5 linked regions of the Danio rerio genome follow. The protein of the gene in region 5 purifies or fractionates together with the protein of the main gene of each other region. This does not show direct contact. Links are inferred from orthologs where the notes say so. Each region holds a gene or a part of one and is shown on either strand. Other genes may lie near its edges. The genes, in order: polr1e, polr3c, polr3f, crcp and si:ch211-140b10.6.

Region 1 (4,199 bases), on a different chromosome or scaffold from region 5:
TAAGCCCAAAAATCAAATTTTTCGTGAAAATGCTCTAAGAAACATTTCGAAATTGAACTTCCGGGTGGCGATACTAACGTTACCAATCCTGGTAGAAGAAATGCTTCACTCATGAATATTAATTACGTCACATGTCAATCTTACTTTAGTATTGCGTGATTGGGTCAGAGTTAGATTTAGTAGGCGGTCACGGAAGCGTGCCTCATGAATATTATGTTACAAAGCTGTCATGTGTATTTCCTGCCTTCTTTTCTTTTCCAAAACGCTAGAAAATAGATTTGTCTTGGTTTAAATAAACTATATTTATTTGTCGGACGTGATGCAGTGGCGCAGTAGGTAGTGCTGTCGCCTCACAGCAAGAAGGGTACTGGTTCGAGCCTCAGCTGGGTTAGTTGGCGTTTCTGTGTGGAGTTTGCATGTTCTCCCTGTGTTCGTGTGGTTTTCCCCACAGTCCTAAGACATGCGGTACAGGTGAATTGGGTAGGCTAAATTGTCCATAGTGTATGAGAGAGACCTAGAGATGGGTTGCAGCGGGAAGGGGATCTGCTGCGTAAAACATATGCTGGATAAGTTGGCGGTTCATTCTGCTGTGTTGACCTCAGATTAAAAAAGGGACTGAGTCGAATAGAAAATGTACTCTCAACATTTTGTTTAAAAACTTTAATGGTTTGCCACAAAAGAGTTTTTTGGGTTTATTGGGTTTATCAAAATGATTGGGTTTTACAGTGCAGTTACAATAAAATGTTAAAATCTTTATGTTGAAACTGTAGTTTCAGAGAAATTTGAGAAACACCAGAGTTGATTATTTTTAGGATCCCTCTGCAAAACATGGTGAAGGAGCCTCAGACATTGCATTAATAAAATTGAATGTCAGTGCTGTCTGATCTGATTGTAAAATAAATCATAGAAACTTGTGCTGTTGGGCACAAACTGTCTGTGTGGTGTAAATAATCAGCATTACTTAGTCATGTCTACAAGCATAAACCTTATTCTGGACATAATCTAAACTAGTGTATGAATATTATAGTTTTATTGCTCAGTCCTAACATGAAATTCAATATAAAAAGCTTGTAGAATTAAGAATACTTATTTGCCATCATCAGTTTAAAATAAATTTCCTTCACTTTATTTTTATTTATTTCAGTTTAAACATCAGTTTAGGCCTTTATTTATTTATTTTGTCATTTATTTTGCATTTTAGACCAAATTCAGCCTTGGAGAACAAAATAGACTACTTTCAAAAGCTTTTACAATACATTTTGAAAGGCTTTTAATCCATATTTATTCAATTTTAAAAATAGTTGTGCAAATTCAATTAATATCATATCAGAACAATTGAATGGAAGTTTCTGTTTAAACTGTTTAAACCGATTGGTGTCGCTGTTCGTGCAGGAACGCGTGCTAATATCAGCCGAGGAAACCGTAATAATGGCGGCGACCTGTTCGTGGAAAACATGTGAAGAAACGGAACAGAATACTTTTATTGGTAATGTTTTAATACCCAGAGTATCATAAATGTAACATAATATATAATTGCTGTTATTTGTTAGCTGTAATAAACTAATCTTATTCTTCCTCTATGTATTTAACGCACCCACGTGGATATGGTCATCTCGACCAAATAATAAACAATGTACACTCAGTCTAACAGTATAGTTTTTAAAACTGTCACGCATTGTATTTTAAAGCATTATTCTTGTCATTACAGTTAAGTTCTCTAATGGAAATGTGAAAAATGCCGAGGAGCTGGACTTTACTGTCTTCAAACACTCAAATGCATCAAATCCCAGAAAGAAAAACAGACGAATAGTGGTAAAACACTTATACCTACTGAAACTGCGTTTGTTTTATAACTTTAAAAAGTCTAAATTGAAGCAATTGTGTTGTTTGTGCTTTTAGGAACTAACTTTATCTTTTCTATGCAGGTTGCAGATTCAGATAGGCTTCCCTATGTAGGGAGCAATTTTGGGTCTGGATCGCTGCAGTCTAATAATATGTGCAAGTGAGGTCATCACGTTGTTATTTATTTGCTGAGCAACACTTAAATAACCTCTCAATAATGGTGTGTAAATGTTGTCAACAGGTATTTTGTGGGAGTTCTTGACAAGCAGACTATGCAAATGAAAGTTCATAGTGCTCAGCTGTTCAATATGCTGCCCGTCATACCAGGTAAACAGTTTTACATCTGAAATATTATGGACATAAATGTTTAGGGTTCTTAGAGTTCAAAGGAACTTTTACTCGTTTTTGGGGGTGAAATTGTTTGCATGCCTCTAAGTCTGTAACGTTAGTAATATTATTTGTATTACCATGTTACTGAGTGCTGTTAGTATAATATCTCATACATTATTATATTGTGTAATAATCGTTAATGGTTATCATTTATAGTGAACATGAATATTTATACTATTCAAATATTTTTGTCATGACAGCGCTCTGAGAGGTTTAGTATGGTAATATATATGTATTTGGCATTGTTGATGTATTTGGTCTTGGCGGCATAGATCTGCTACGCAGCTGCTGCTTTGATTGCTATGGCGGAACAAGTTCTGTGACTTGCTGCTGCCAGTATATTCACAGACATGCAGTATAGACTTTTTTGAGAGATGTAAACAATAACTATGGTTTAAATGTATTTCCTGTTTTACATTTTTTGTTTCCATAGTTTCTAAAAGGTCCACCTATTGATAATGTTATGACAGCTGTTTTTAACGTTAAGATGGGATTTCATTGAAATGCCTCTTGTTACAGTTATGAAATAGTTTGACAGGACATGTTCATTGGCCAGTGATATCATATTGAAATGGTATATATATATATATATATATATATATATATATATATATATATATATATATATATATATATATATAAAACCCATAGCAGATATATGGAGGGGGTACTCTGAAAAACACACTTTATACTATATAATGCTCCACTATTTTCTTTTCCAATTCAACAGTAATGTTTTGGGCTATGTTCACACTGCAGCCAAATGTGGCCCAGATCAGATTTTTTTGCTTACATGTGGCTCAAGTAATGACCAAACTGCATGGAATCTCATCTTTATAGTTCAGATTTGTGCCACTATCAAATGCGAAATGCATCATTATCTGTGCTGCAAACATCATCTATTCCTCAGCAGCATTGTAGAATGACGAACAGGACAATTACTTTACCACAGAAATTGGTTGTTCATTTTAAAAAAGATTTTGAAGGCAAAACTGGTTTTGTTAACGATGCGTACACTAAGGAGGGGGCACTTTCATTTTAAGGGGGAAATTTCTTTCCAATAGAAAAAAGGGCAGGTGCTCGAGCACCCGAATCCCCCTTCAGCACGTGCCTGCTGTTTATAAGGAAGTAAAATAAAATAACTCTGCAAACAGAGACCAACTCCACCTTCACAGTTCAGTTTGCGACTGCTCATTAACCCTTGATGAGTTTACCACAGCGGTGGTCAGAAAGACACGCACCGCGGTTGTCATAGATCACAAATGATCAGTGTTTTCAAATCACAAGTGACTTATTTTAGGTCTGAAATGCCGTAATACGCGTTCGTAGTAGCAGAACAATCCTTTAAATTTTATGAAATATGAAAAGGGCAATAATCATGTAAGCATGATCTGACAATTTGCTTACTTCATACATTTCGTGCAAAATTAGACATTTTGTGCTGTCCGTAATGTACTTTTGCGCATGCAGATCTGTTCACACTGCAAATCTGATATTGGCCACATTAATAACAACAATGTAAACAGCTATGCCAAAAAAAATAAATCAGATCTGAGAAAAAAATCAGATTTGTGCACTAAGCCTCGCCATGTTAACACAGCCTTGGAGCCAGGAAAGTGAGTTATGGTTTTATTTAGTTTAATTGTTTGTCACTGAACAGGATGTGCATTGTTAATTCTGTGTCTTCAGGTGAAGCAACAGAAGCTGAAAGCGAAAATCAACCCTCAACATTCAGAGATAAGGTAAGTAGCTCATCAGGTGAATGTCTAAATGTATTGAACATATTACTATATTAAACTGTATATACCGTTGAAGTCAGAATTATTAGCCCACCCTAATTATTAGCCCCCTGTTTATTTTCTCCCCAATTTCTGTTTGACGGAGAGAAGTTTTTTTTAGCACATTTCTAAACAATAATTTTAATAACTGATTTTTTTTTATCTTTGCCATGATGACAGTAAATAATA
Region 2 (3,517 bases), on a different chromosome or scaffold from region 5:
TTTTTTATTTTTTCCACATGAGAAAAAAAAAGGATGCTAAAATTGCATTTGCAGCCACACACACACACACACACACACACACACACACACACACACACACACACACACAAACACAAACACAAACACACACACACACACATGCACACACGCACACAAAATGTGATTAAATACAAATCGGTCACTCTTTGTTCCAAAGGAAATAAACATCTCCATTTGACAATTTACCTTTATCCATCTATTTCACATCCTAAACTAGTCTACAGTCAGCGAGAGGCCTGTGTGGAGTTAATGTAGGATTCCAGAAGAAAAATGGTCTCATCCACCTGGTTTTCGCTGGAATCCAACCTGCCACCATGAGCACAAAGAGAAGAGATTTGATTAATGATTGACTGAATATAAACCACATGATTCGACACAATGTGTACTAACGCCCTGGCTGTATCCAAAATCACAAACTATACCCTTAATCTATTTGAGGGAGCAGTAATTTGTAAATGTGTCTACAGTGGACATTCTGAAGTGTGCTAAAATCAATCCCATAATGCAACTCGATAAAGCGCGAACAATCGGACGGATAATGAATTCCCGAATCTGACCACAAGATGGAATCCACAGTGTAATTCTGTCAGTGTAAGTTTCTAAATAATTCAATATTTAAAGGTGCTCTCTGTACGATTTTGACTCTTCAAATGCATAAAAATACCATAATATGTTTGCAGATACTTAAGAAACATGCTAAGCGAACAGATCTTGTTTATCTGAAAAACAATGCTGAAGTCAGATATTCTACTTTGAAAATGTCTGTTACATGCTGGAACGCTGTCTTTGTTTTGGTTCTTTTAACCCACCCAGTGCCACTTTAGCCAATTATATTTCAGCAGCCCGAGTTGCCTTGTTGGAAAACTGCGTATTTTATTCATTCGCTATTCAGAAAGGCTTTGAAAACATTCATCCGTGACCAAACTGCAACCTCTGGTGGACAGTAGTAGACTCTGAAATGAGATGCCGATTGAGAGTTGCACATGAGGTTATCAATTAGCAGATCATTTAAATATTATGAATGTAATCATTAGGTGAGCAGAGGTAACATTGTAACCGTGTGTCCTAACAACACACTGTGTGAAAAGATTTGCCGTGATGAGCAATTAGGCTGTTTGCACCAGATGAAACACAACAGAAATTTAAATACAGCCATTCAGAAATACAGAATGTGCACTCAGTCACGAAACGGTAAGGTTTAAAAACTATTTAATACATGTTAAACCTCTTTAGGGCAGCAGTGTGTAGCACAATTACCTCACAGCAAGAAGGTCGCTGGTTTGAGCCCTGGGTGGTTCAACTGCCATTTCTGTGAGGAGTTTGCATGTTCTGGTGGGTTTGCTCCGGTTTACCCCACATGTCCGAAGACATGCGCTATAGGTGAATTGGAAACATTATTTCTTGCACATGACCACGCTAAACAAAATTGTTGGCATCCAAAGACTTGTAGACCTTTAACTTCTCTCTTGTAAAAACACTTAGAGCTTCAATGAGATTGTATTTTTCGATGCTTGGCCATTTCGTCTTATCCAATAATCATTGGGAGAGTGCTATCGCAAATAGACCTGTCAGACGAATGGCGCTCACCTTAATGTAAATTTAGCAGAATAACTGTGTTTATCACTTAGTGACGAGCTGTTATAATACGCTAAAAGCATTATGTAAATAATATATATAATATGTAATCAATATAACTTATTTCTAAGACAACAACGAACTCTGTACTACATCAGATGTCATTCCCTCGCTGTAAATGGTAGTGCTCCCGGTTTTTTAGCCATTGCGCGCATCTTGAATGTTTACAAACATGATAAATGTCTATTGAACAGTCTATTTTAGTTCCTCAAAATAGCTACGCGCCAACAATGCGCCTTAACACACCTCTTTTCTAGACTGAAACATCCATAAGTCCACAAAGTGCCTCAAATGGATTTGCTATTTAAACAACGGGGCGGAAAACGGGAAAATTAATGTTGCGTTGGTCTGAAAATAGCAACACGTCGTGGAAACCCATCTTGTGCCTTGTTACACCGAGTGTACGATAGGGCCCAAAGTGGTAAAGATCTGATTTGTTTGAAATCAGGGGATCGTCCTTTAACACTGACATTTATATTAAATGAACTGAATCAGTTTTTAACTAACTAGCACATATCTAGCATTCTACCACTGTACTGCTACCTGGCTGAAATGCTGAATATGTCCCACAAATTAAAATATTGTTATCAGATTTTTTAATTTGATCACCTATTGTCTTTCTACAATATATAAAATGCTACAGAAAGGAAGGGGACTTGGTTTGCAGTACTTGTTTATATGGTGTCGCAGGGACTCGAGCTGCTGTCTCTCAGGAGCTGTGATCATCTCCTCCACCTCGGTCAGCTGTGTCGCCTCCGCACCGGTCGCCTGCAAGGATGCTAGGATGGCCTCAATCCGCTGAGATTTCTCCAAAAGCCGCCTGTCAAAATAATAATAAACAAAACATTAATGACAAAATCAAAAACTTCCACAGTAGATTAAAGGGTTAGTTCACTCAAAACGAACATTATCTTAACCTCAAGTAATTTCAAAGCTTTCTTTTTATTCTTGAACACAAAAGAAAATATTTTCAAGAAAGCTCAAAACCGGAAACCACTGACTTCCATTCATAGTATTTGTTTTCCCTACTATGGAAGTCAATGGTTACTGGTTTTGAGCTTTCTACAAATGTCTTTGTTTGTGTTCAAGAGTAAAAAGGTTTCAAATTACTTATAGGTTTCCAACATTTTTCTAAATATCTTTGTTTGTTTTCAACAGAGGTAAGAAACCCATGAAGGTTAAAAACATGTAAAGGATGAGTAAATGATCATTATAGCTTCTCGAGTGATCTATCCCTTTAAATGTTTTAATGTTGAAAAGGAGAAGAGACTTGCTTGTTCTCTTTGGTCTCATACAGCCGCCGCTCAATCAAGTTCCCAACTGTCTGTAAAGAGGTTCACACACAGATATCAAATCAAAAAATACACTCATTAATTAAACAAATGCTTTAAAGCTGTTCGTGCGAGCTACGTACCTTGTAGCAGTGTTGCAGAAGTAGTCTTGCGGTGGGCAGCTGATTAACTGTGTACAGGTAGAAGGTTCGAGAGGGTGCGTGATCAGGTGTTTTGGGGATTTCCTTTACATATAATACAAAAGGAGTGAAAAGAAGTCTTGATAAGGGCCAGACAGAATCTGCAGACATGTTTTTACTATTTCTGCTAAGAATTTTTAAAACATCTGCGGATTCATGCGGAATGATTTCAGGATTATCGTAACTAAAAACACAAGAAATAAAAGTAAATAAAATAAAACCTTTTAAACTTTTATTTAATGTTTACAAAGCAAATCCATCTAGATTCACTTGTTTGGTAAACAAAGCAAGTCCCTCATTAAATAGATCTGCTAAAAGAGAATAAATATGATTTTAAAAACTGTACTGTAAATAAATCAAACGAACACTTTC
Region 3 (4,204 bases), on a different chromosome or scaffold from region 5:
TATCTAACAAACAAAAACGTATTGTCTTTGTGAAAAGGATGAACATGTAAAGGATGCACTTTTATTTTATCAACAAAAATACTTTAATGCATTTTGCTGACGTAATTCTGAACTAGTACTTCAAGCCAATAAACATATCGCATTAAATAGACATACATAAATGCAATGTATTGTTCTTCATCTAAAATAATACTAATAAAGAGGTTGTTTACAAACTCATACACTATTAAAACTTCGTCATTCAAAACGTACATGAAATGCAACGAAGCTCTCTAAGTTACTAAGAAAGAGATTTTGCTTCATGTTGTCAGACTTTTCGGTATCTAAACATGTACACGTGGCAAAAAAAGACAATACATTTGATGGAAACTTTAATTGCTTTTTTAAATCCATGTAACTTTACACGTTGTCCTACGGTGTTTTGTTAACGTCAACAGGCCGCATGCGCAAGAATAGTGTAACGTTAACTGCGTTCAACTCACCTATTCTCGATATCTACAGGGTCCGTTGACTCTTTTTTGACTTTAACTTCTGTCATTGTGCATCAGACTGGAGTTACTGGAGTATTAGACCTAGTGTCAACAAAACAATACATTCATAGACCCATTTAAAGCTAAGATGAAACGCCGTGTGGTATTGCAGTGTGCGAGAGGCGGGGAGAGTTTACAGGCGACTGGGTTGCCAGACAGCGAAAAATAACCCATCAGACTGCTGTCAAATAGGATCGCAACATCGGTGGCTTGTCTCTTTTTAACGGAGAATTAAGCATTTTGTTTTGTCAAACCCAATTATATTTCGGAGTTAAGACACGACTTTTAGTATTTATAACGGAAGTATTCTACATTCGTTGATAAAACACGGATATGGCAACAGAAACTGAAAGCTTCAAATCTAGACAAAAGATTTACATCGCCACCTACTGTACGGGAGTATATCTGTGACTAAAATATCCTCATGATTTAAAGAGGACCAGTGTTGGAGAAAGTTACTTCAGAAAGTAATGCTTTACAGTATTGAGTTACTCCCCAAAAAAGTAACTAGTTACATTACTTAGTTACTTTTTATGGTAGGTAATGCGTTATGTTACTTTTGCTTTACTTTTTTTGACCTATGTGAGGCTGGCTGATCTCTTGCAGACATTGCAGGTTTTTTTTCTTCTTCTTCATTTTTTAGCTCTACAGTTAACAACACACTGTATAAAATTCTTTTCCTAAAAAAAAAAAAAATCTGAATTCCTAAAAATTATGTAGGATAAAGTTATCTTCGAATCAGTTTCTGAGCCCAGAGCTATACATGGTGCATAATGAATGTTTAAAAGAATGCTTTTCCTACTTTAGTACTTTTTGTCTTGGGAGTAAAATCTATTCAAATGATACTCTTTTGCTTTTCCTCCATGTGTTCAAAGTAATGAGAATATTTCCATCGCAGAAATTTATAGCTCTGCCATCTTCATGTCTGTCTGTTCCTGCGTTCTCTCATCGAGTGTGGCATTCATTTTAATTCAGCAATTTATTTTTTTAAAGCGAATTACTTAAACTAAAAAGTAACTCACATTACACTTTTTAAAAAGTAACTAAAATTTTATTACTTAATTTCTGAAGGTAATGTGTTACTTTATTCGTTACTTAGAAAAGTAATACTATCACGGAACTCACGTTACTTGTAATGCGCATTACCTCCAACACTGTAGAAGACTCCCGTTAAAATATAATTTAGAGTTATAAATAGACCATTTCGATGTGGCAATGTCACTGACCCATGAACATTTCCTGCTCGTTGTTGAACTACTTCATAACTGTAACAAATCAATTTAATCATATATTAACTTTAAAACAGCTGCTATAACATTATTTATCAATTTGTGGTCCTTTTTTATTCTTGGAAGCTATGGAAATTCTAAATGTCATAGAGGAAATACATTAGTGCCATTGTTATTGTTTACATCCCTTGAAATGGTCTATAGTATAATACCCCAGTAAAATACACAAGACTTTTGTGACACACTAATTAATTGTACTTTTGATAATTAATTTAAGCTTTATAAAACGTATATATGCTGTACTTTCAAAATAGAATTACATTGATCTTGTTTTATGCTTTAGGTCACAATGTTTTTAATTTTTTTTACATAAATTATGCTGAATGGCGATTTGGGTGTTCTTTTACAAACATAAAGACATATGATTTAAAAAAAAAACTTTGTTTAAAATATTGCATCAAGTACGCATGTGTTAAAATTTATTTAATGAGAATACACGGGAAATTGTTTCAGGTAAAATAGACAAATAGAGAATTTGTAAAGTAAAATTGATATAAAAATCTGATCCAGTTACTGGTCCCTAGAGATTGAGCTAAAGTTGGTTTTATATTGGCACATTCATTCAGTGACAAGTTGTGACATGTTCCCTATATTGTTTATCATGGTACTTTGAATATTCAGTCACACGGCTTCAAAACAACATTAGCAATATTTATTTGACTGTGAACAATGTTGTGCTTAGATAGTCATTGGCTGCTAATATTTTATATTATAATTTGCAAAAAAAAACTAAAAAAAAGTTAAATTATTGAGGAAAGTCCGAATGTGTGAATCTAAAATTTTACCACAATTCTGTAGAGGGAGCTGGGTCAATCAAAAGCCAACCTTTTAGACCGTTTCAAGAAAATAATAAACGATTTTGAATTTTTCTAATTGTGTTTTCCATGGACGAAAATAATATGAAGTAATGGCTACAGAATTAATGTCAAGAGGAGTGAGTTACCCCTTTAAATTTGACTGTGGGAAATGAGCGCATGCGCACTAATCAGTTGCCATGGGTAACGTGACCCACCAATAGCGCAGCCAGCTGTGTGTTCAGTCTAACATTACAGCGTCTTGTACACACCGTACACATCGTGTGCTTCGAGTGTCATCGAAAAAAACACTCATTTAATATAAATATACGAAATATTTACAATTCAATTGTAAAGTGATTAGAGATACTTCAATCTACAAAAAATAGTCTGTGTAAGCTCTTATTATCCAGTAGCCTAATGCACTAATAATAGTATAACGTTAAGCATTTTATGTCATTCTAATGATATATTTTATTTTCTATATTGCAGGTTAAAGAGCACAAACATGACTGCAGGATCAGTGGCAGCACCTCAAATAATCCCCATCCGCATTCCTCCTCCAGGTAAAGCCAAGCATGAGATAGACTCCAGCACTCCTGTTGAGATCAAGTCAGGTGAGTCAGTTTAGCTCTAAAGATACAGTTCACCCCAAAATGAAAAAGCTCTCAACCTCCACTTATTCTAAGTTTTATGAATAACTTTCTTCTGTTGAACGCAAAAGAAGATATTTTGAAAAATGTTGGAAAGCATCAGCAATAGACAATCAAAATATGTTCCTTCTATGGGAGTGAATGGCTGCTGGTTTACAACATTCTTCAGAATGTCTTGTTTCATGTTTAACAGAAGAAAGACATTTATAACATTTTAGAACCGTTTGAGTAAGAGGAAATGACATTTTTGGTTGATCTCTTTAGCACAAGCCTGCGTCTTGTTGATTTTCATGTGTTTTATAATGTATATTTCCCAGAATCCCCTGATGTGAGGGTCCTGTACACGCTGGACGGCAGTAAGCCGGAGCTGACAAAGAGGCCAGGTTTTGCTGACAGCACTCTAAAGTACACTGAACCTGTTCGGTTACCTGTGGGGAAAGTGTATGTGAAAGCCATGGCCGTCTCTATGTAGGTACATTTTATGCTTTGTTTTTTATAATAATGTGTGTGTTGTTTTTAACTACAGGCACTGCTACAAGTGTTGATTTTTATTAAAACTTTGAGATTTTGTTTTGTGCTTTCCCACATCATGAAAGAATTTATATAGCAGTTTATTGTAAATACTATAGTGTTTTTGATTGTAATATAGTATTTACAACACTTTGTTAATGAATGCTACAGCATAGTGAAGTATTAACTATAGTAAACTGTAAATCTGTAATAAATACTGTATTAACTTTTGGTTTTACAACAGCAAACTGTGGAGTATTGTAGTATAATAAACCATTTAGTTGTAGAAAACCTTTATATTTAAGAAACTAGTTTGTTACTACATGTGTTGTAATACCTAAACAATTAATTGAGTTAGCGCAACAGATTAATTTAAACGTACAATAGTATGGTTTGAAAACCTTATTACTTATAATATATAATATTTG
Region 4 (2,617 bases), on a different chromosome or scaffold from region 5:
ACTGTAAAAATAATTTAGAGTCCTTTCAAGCTGTACTGAAATATCAGTTTGGAAATTCATAACACGGAGCACCGTACAAGTCATGCATGTCTCCCCAAGTACCTTACTTTTATTCAACATCTTGGAAGACAAAAGAGTGAGTACATTACCAGGACATTTTTCATTCTATAAGTGAAACAATCCTTTAAGCAACTTGTTGATAAAAATCCTGGTTAACTTGGTTGTAACAAGTATACTAGAGTTTTAAAGTCAAAAACTGTTGATTCACAGTTTCACATTTGAACTTAATGGACATACAAACGGTATGGGTTTGCTTTTGAGCAATTTCTCACAAATCAAAATGGTCAGTGATTGTAACATTTATGAGCTGAAATAAAGAGTAGCAATACAGGAAGGATGTCGCAGAGGAACTGAGACTGTCTTGAGCCCAGAAGATCATATCCTTACTCAAACAAAGATCAATGCAGCTTCGACAATTGTGCATGGGAAACAATGCTGACAAAATAACATGATATTTATGGTTAAATAAATATGGATTTTTATTATTTTAGATGTAGCAATGGCTAATGTTTTCATTGACATAATAAAGATCAACAGTAAACGTAAGTATTATCACTGTCAACCCATCTAAAGTCAGTCTCTTGGGCGTTTAAGGATGAAAAACTAAAAAAAAAAAATTAAACTGTGAGTTTCTGGGGGTAATGCTATTGGTTGGTCTCCATTTGAGGATCAGCAGATTCATTGGCTTCTGTCTGTGGGTCACCGGGCAGGATGTCCGTGACTTTCTGTATAAGTTCATCGATCTGTTCTTCTGTCAGCCTTTCTTCACTTTCCTCTACCATCTGTAAGTTGAAAAAAGATCTTTAGGATCATATAAACAAGAAATTCCAAGAGTTCATTCAAAGCAGGGTGAAACGGCTTTCAGATACTCCACCTCTCGCTGCTGGAATCAGCTTCCAGAAATGATCAGATGTGCTCCAACATTAGGCACGTTCAAATCAAGACTGAAAACACATCTGTTTAGCTGTGCCTTTACTAAATGAGCACTGTGCTAGGTCCGTCAGATCGCACTAATATGTTTTTCTCTTATTTTTCATTGTTTTATAACACATTTATAACTTGTTTTAACACATTTGGTCTGTTTTCATCTGTTTTTAATCATTTTTATTATCAGTCTTTATTATCTTTTATTCCTGTTTATGTAAAGCACTTTGAATTGCCACTGTGTATGAAATGTGCTATATAAATAAACTTGCCTTGCCTAAGTTAAGTTCATAGAGATGTCATACAAATAACATCCAGTTTTTGTTGGCTGTTCAGAAATCCATCTTTGTCCCTTCAGACTCTCACACTCCATAAGACTCAGTAAGTGTTTTTTTTTTTATTTGTTTATTCATCAATACTATTAATATATATATATATATATATATATTTTTATAAATGTACCACAGGCTTTGAGCAGTAATTAATAAATCCTGTTTTTCTTCAAATTTACATCTTCAGTTTCTTAGTTGGTTAATATAATTGTCAGACTAGTTTGTAGAGACTATTTTTACTATGCCATTTGCATGACCATTTTTTGTCCTGTACTTTTCTAAAGAAAAAGTATCTTTTGCTCATCAACACTGCTTTCATCAAATCAAAAATACCATAACTGTGTTCTGTTCTGAAATTTGATTTGTGTAACAGATCAGATGAAACAGATTTGTGTAAGTTGACCATCAGTTAAGACAACGTTAGCACCTGTTAGCTTTAACTGAGGGGAAAACTGGATAATTTGAAGCTTTTGTCAGCTAATTTTATCTTCTGGGTTTAAAATCATTTTTGGGGCGGGATCAAAATCAGCGACGTAGCGTGAATCTGCTAGTGGAGTGATGACACGTCGGTTTCTTATTTTTATTCGTAGCTGAGTTTTCTTATCCTATGGGAAAATATAAAACTATAAATCATGCGCCTCCTCATGGTGTGCATCTCATTTTGTGAGCCAACTGACAGCTGTTCGCTCGCCTCTTTCTTCCCTTCTATGCCGGCCACACCATCCCTCCCTCTGCTCGCAGCGCTCCACGCCCATCACAAAGCATTTTATGAAAAAATTCGGTGGTAGACATGAACCGAAAGAGGGGGGTTTCATGGCCCTTTAACACATCTTGATAATCACTTGTGCTGTTGATTTGTTTGTTAAAATATAATAGATATAAAATGCATGCAAACATTTGAAATAGAAACATTCAGTTCAATTATAAACATCAGTCATGGTCACTTTCCTATTAAATGGATTAAAAAGCCTTAATTCACACTATTTTAAAGGGTTCTGATGTAGTTTTGAAGGTTTTCCACAGTAGGTTTCAGGGCTGCATCATGATATCAGAAAAATATTTATATATAAGATATTGCAATGTTTTATTTTTCTATGATACATATTGTGATTTGAGTACAGTTTCACAAGATGATATTTAAGTACAAAAAAATGAATAATCTTTTTTTTTTTTCTTCCTTTGCTTTGTTTCGTTTCTAGTCCAAATATCTAAAAAATCTTAGATCAAGTGAAAAATGTATTTGTTTTCACCTTTAGAAAAATTAGGTGAAAATTATTAGTTTTTCCTCAAAACAAGTGAAA
Region 5 (4,131 bases):
GAAAGCGCTTGTTTGTGCTTCCCAGTGGACATTTCATCCTAAAACAAAACGGCAATTTAAGCAGCTTTAGGAGACATATATAGTAGTTAATTACACACATACATACATACATACATACATACATACATTCCATAGATATATACACTATCGCATATGGTTCCTGAGCATGCGTCAATTGCGCCGCCACATTTGTACAGTGCTCCCAGGACATCATTCAACTGCACTAATCAAGACTAAAGCCAATGTGAAGATGCTGGACTTTAGCACTGCTTACGGGTGTAGTAACAAGCAAACAAAGAAAACCAAGCACAAAGGCAGAACATTTCATAGGTAAGATTTCGTTTTTTATGTTTTTGTATGTTACAAACTGGCACTCAATTCTAGACTTATGCTAGTTTTGTTGAATAAAATGAGATAACAATGTAAATGAAATATAACAAGAAGGTGCTGCTGTGAAAACTTGTATTATTGTCAACTAAGTGATCAAGTCCTTCTTAACAGAGATTCATTCACAAACGAATCCCTCCCTCCGTTGGAATGAAAAGTGAAAGCAGGAGAGGGGGTGTGTTTAAGGACATGAATTAGATCAAATTAAACAGGGAGGGTAGATAATACATTTCCATGCACACAATCACACACTCTTTGCCAGGAATGCCCATGCAATCATTTATCCATCAATATAGAAAAGTGATGTAAACTTATAATTTTTGTAATTTCATAAAATATTTGCATACTGACCAATGGAAAACCCCCCGATCGTAAATAAATGTGTATATGTGTATATATGGATGGCCAGTCCTCCGCTGCACCTTGAACCCACATTCATTTTAAAGAAGCGCTACCCTGTACTAAAATGGCGACTCTATCGACAAATTCCTTTCAATAGATGAAAAAAGCGTAGGCAACATCTAATGTAAATGTCTATACATACATACATACTGTACATACATCTTTTGATTTGGAGGACGATAACCAACATTTTAAACATAAATCGCGTAACCTTCACAGAGCAAATTAGCATGCAACTTGACTGTTGCATAAAAATAATAGGTTAAATGACAGAACTGTATTTAATTAACAAACAAGTTAAATACATATATTTTAATAAAATGAAAAGGAAAATGAAAGAACTAAGGACTGAAGCCAGCTCAAATGTTCTACAATTATTAGTCATTTGACACTTTTGTTACCGCACTCCCACAAGATTCTCCCGTAAAAACACCAGTAAAAACGATTACACCCAATTAAAAATAAATATTTCTTCTAGCCATTTTCCAATGAATACAGCCAATCATCTTTGGTTTATTTAAACAGAACAGTTATATGGTTCAGTCATTTAACACCTTCGAGGATAGAAAATAATACACTTACAATCAAACAAGTTTTTGCAAAAAAAAAAAAAAAAAAGTATTTTTCCCGTTTATTAATATATTATTTAATATTTTCCCCCAGTATATTAATTAAGGTGTACTGATTTTTGCACTGTGATCTTAAATAGTTTTTTTTAATTATAAGCTTGTCATAATATCTATTTTTTCTTGTATGATATATTGCACCAACATATATTATGATGAACAATATTGTCATTTTGAGACCATTTTATGCCACTTATTATATAATGCCAAAATGACAATATAATAACATCAAAATGCAAGTACACTCTTCTAAAGACCACATAATATTTTATTCTTAAGGATGTTTCATTTAATTTATAGTCATTTTAACTTTAATAATGAGGCAGGGGAATCAGCATGTGAAAACACATATCCTGAATAAATAGTAGTAAAAAGTGCAATGTAAAAAGTAACAGAGGCTGCAAGATCTGCTACCAGATCTATTTTCAGTTGTCAGACACCTGCATGAAAATATACTACAGTAACATAAAGAGGTTGCACCATCAGCTAAAATGTTGCTAGAATTGACTTTTATATATGGGCAATATATATTACATCACCAAAAATGATAGATGTCATGTCAATGTGTTGTGCGATAAGTCGATATATTGATTATTGTGAAAAGCATATTTGATTAGTCACAGTTTTGGCTTTTGTACCTTAAAATCTAAAGAGTTTGTGCAAAATGCATTACTGTAAAGCATTTTATACTACATATTAATTTAAAATACAGATCTTTAAGGGGTGTACTCAGTACTGTATATATACATACACAGGTTTAAGTTCACATCCGAAAACCAAAGTTACACCCTTGTGTGTGTGCGCGTGTGTGTAAAAGAGTGGGGGCAATAGTGGTTACTAATAATAGAAAAAGACTTCAAATTGGTCACTTTAAATATCTGTAATTTATCAATTTAGTGATCCAAACTTACCATCCAGCAGGACCCATTGTCTCGACACGGGCTTTTGCTCTGTTCGCTTCTTTAAGGAGCTCCTCCACTGCTTTTCTGGGGAAATTATTTACAGTGAGACATTTGACGACAGAAACGGGTTAATTTATGTATTACCGTGACCCCAAATTAAATAGCACGTTTAAATCTCTGACGGTGCAAAATAGACTTTTCTAGGATACCGAAATGTTTGCTATATAACAAAAGTATGGTGCTTCGTCTCAGGTTTTGGTTTACACAAATTTACTGACCAATTTGCACGAAGCCGAGGGCGTTAGCATATTCTGCATCGTAAACTAGTCCAATAAACTGGTCAAAAGGGGGAAAATTGACATTTAGAAATATCATACCTTTCCAGTTCACTGTCTTCCATGATCTAATTAACCTTAAACCGCAGTCACTGTTAATTTATAGCTTGTTCCAGCTTGCTAACCAGTAACGTTAGTGTTTACTATTCTCGAGGACCCAATTTAGGACCCCGGTCCGCTTGACCATCTTAGTTTTGACTAAATTTGCGGAAGTGAGCAGACAGTAAAATTCAAACTAAAAATGTAGAAACTATCTGCACTTGGAACAAAAAGTACGTACATTTAAACAGTCTATTTTAGTTTATTATTTGACTTAATAATAGGTTTTACGATCGCACTTTAATCAGGCATCTCGATGGTCACAACTGATATTCGACTAACAGCGCCGTCTGCAGCCTGTCAAACGAACGGTAGTGAAAAAATCAGAGTCATTTCATCAAATGGTTCATTTGAACAGCAGCTCTGAATGGAACAGTTCAACATGTTCCGACGGTTCTTTACGTCATTACATGATCCCAAAGCGCATTACATGACATAATATCTTTACAGTCTTTTTATTTATTTAACTTATGTAATTTATATTTTAGTTTATTTTATGTTATAGGTTACATTTGTAGTTTTGGATGTCATGTTTAAATTGTATATTTGCTGCTGTTTAATAATAATAAAAAAATAATAAATAAAATAATAAATAAATCAATTAATCTCTTTTTATCTTATCTAAATACATGAATGTTGACAATACTTGCACACTTATCACATCTTTTCTATAACTGTGATGTCTCTTACATTTTAGTATGATGTTAGTGACGTGTTATTTGGGCAAATACATGTTAAAAGATTGTATTTGCTCTTTACACACACACACACGCACGCACGCACGCACGCACGCACACACACACACACACACACACACACACACTCATTAGAGTATGTTGGTATGTTGTTAATTTTTACATGCTACAAGGTTAATATTTTATTCATAAACAGAAGTTTGCGAAGTGTATACCAAAATGCTATTAATTTTTATTAGAAATGGAAACTTTGAAAAAGTTTCTAATGCAAATTAATAACAAAAAAATGACTTGATGTTAGATTTCATGAAGTTTTTTTTTCTGGTACTGATCCCTCACTGTAGTCTGATTGTGTGCCAATCTTTTTTTTTTATTACTAGTTATATTTAATTTAATATTTTTACTTGTTATGTTTTTGTTTTAATATTATTTCTGGATGTGGCTTTTTGCACTTATTGTAATGGTCTTGGATATAGTTTGTGTCTGAATTTTTATTAATACATAGTGTTATGTTTTAATGCTTATAATTAAAAAAAACTTGATCAAATATCTTAATTCTAAGTCACTTGTGAGCAATAATTACTATTTAATTAATGTTTTTTTTCTTTAGATATTTATTTAAATTAAATGTATTTAAATATAAGTTTAGATTCACTAAAAACAGAAATGCATTCAGAGGAAAAAA

What was found.
Region 1: the proteins of si:ch211-140b10.6 (region 5) and polr1e purify together in Homo sapiens (affinity purification with mass spectrometry; 3 studies listed by BioGRID and IntAct, with this or other methods). This does not show direct contact. The link is inferred for Danio rerio from reciprocal best matches to the Homo sapiens genes POLR1D and POLR1E.
Region 2: the proteins of si:ch211-140b10.6 (region 5) and polr3c purify together in Homo sapiens (affinity purification with mass spectrometry; 3 studies listed by BioGRID and IntAct, with this or other methods). This does not show direct contact. The link is inferred for Danio rerio from reciprocal best matches to the Homo sapiens genes POLR1D and POLR3C.
Region 3: the proteins of si:ch211-140b10.6 (region 5) and polr3f purify together in Homo sapiens (affinity purification with mass spectrometry; 3 studies listed by BioGRID and IntAct, with this or other methods). This does not show direct contact. The link is inferred for Danio rerio from reciprocal best matches to the Homo sapiens genes POLR1D and POLR3F.
Region 4: the proteins of si:ch211-140b10.6 (region 5) and crcp purify together in Homo sapiens (affinity purification with mass spectrometry; 5 studies listed by BioGRID and IntAct, with this or other methods). This does not show direct contact. The link is inferred for Danio rerio from reciprocal best matches to the Homo sapiens genes POLR1D and CRCP.

The regions. Positions count from the first base shown.
Region 1 is NC_133176.1:21,147,714-21,151,912, reverse strand, and holds the start of polr1e (DNA-directed RNA polymerase I subunit RPA49), read left to right. Parts: upstream 1-1,393; 5' UTR 1,394-1,428; coding exon 1,429-1,486; intron 1,487-1,708; coding exon 1,709-1,812; intron 1,813-1,925; coding exon 1,926-2,002; intron 2,003-2,083; coding exon 2,084-2,169; intron 2,170-3,921; coding exon 3,922-3,974; intron 3,975-4,199. UniProt on the Homo sapiens protein: Component of RNA polymerase I (Pol I), a DNA-dependent RNA polymerase which synthesizes ribosomal RNA precursors using the four ribonucleoside triphosphates as substrates.
Region 2 is NC_133191.1:14,620,370-14,623,886, reverse strand, and holds part of polr3c (DNA-directed RNA polymerase III subunit RPC3), read right to left. Parts: intron 3,191-3,517; coding exon 3,089-3,190; intron 2,999-3,088; coding exon 2,949-2,998; intron 2,495-2,948; coding exon 2,345-2,494; intron 1,414-2,344; coding exon 1,297-1,413; intron 346-1,296; coding exon 264-345; 3' UTR 226-263; exon of another isoform or gene 1-225. UniProt on the Homo sapiens protein: DNA-dependent RNA polymerase catalyzes the transcription of DNA into RNA using the four ribonucleoside triphosphates as substrates.
Region 3 is NC_133197.1:25,888,526-25,892,729, forward strand, and holds the start of polr3f (DNA-directed RNA polymerase III subunit RPC6), read right to left. Parts: upstream 2,807-4,204; 5' UTR 2,605-2,806; intron 668-2,604; exon of another isoform or gene 539-667; coding exon of another isoform or gene 483-538; intron 1-482. Other genes in the region: dzank1 (double zinc ribbon and ankyrin repeat-containing protein 1), read left to right, coding at 3,122-3,230, 3,584-3,734. UniProt on the Homo sapiens protein: DNA-dependent RNA polymerase catalyzes the transcription of DNA into RNA using the four ribonucleoside triphosphates as substrates.
Region 4 is NC_133196.1:33,901,376-33,903,992, forward strand, and holds the end of crcp (DNA-directed RNA polymerase III subunit RPC9), read right to left. Parts: intron 843-2,617; coding exon 705-842; 3' UTR 515-704; downstream 1-514. UniProt on the Homo sapiens protein: DNA-dependent RNA polymerase catalyzes the transcription of DNA into RNA using the four ribonucleoside triphosphates as substrates.
Region 5 is NC_133199.1:25,556,361-25,560,491, reverse strand, and holds the start of si:ch211-140b10.6 (protein POLR1D-like), read right to left. Parts: upstream 2,805-4,131; 5' UTR 2,718-2,804; coding exon 2,695-2,717; intron 2,402-2,694; coding exon 2,327-2,401; intron 39-2,326; coding exon 1-38.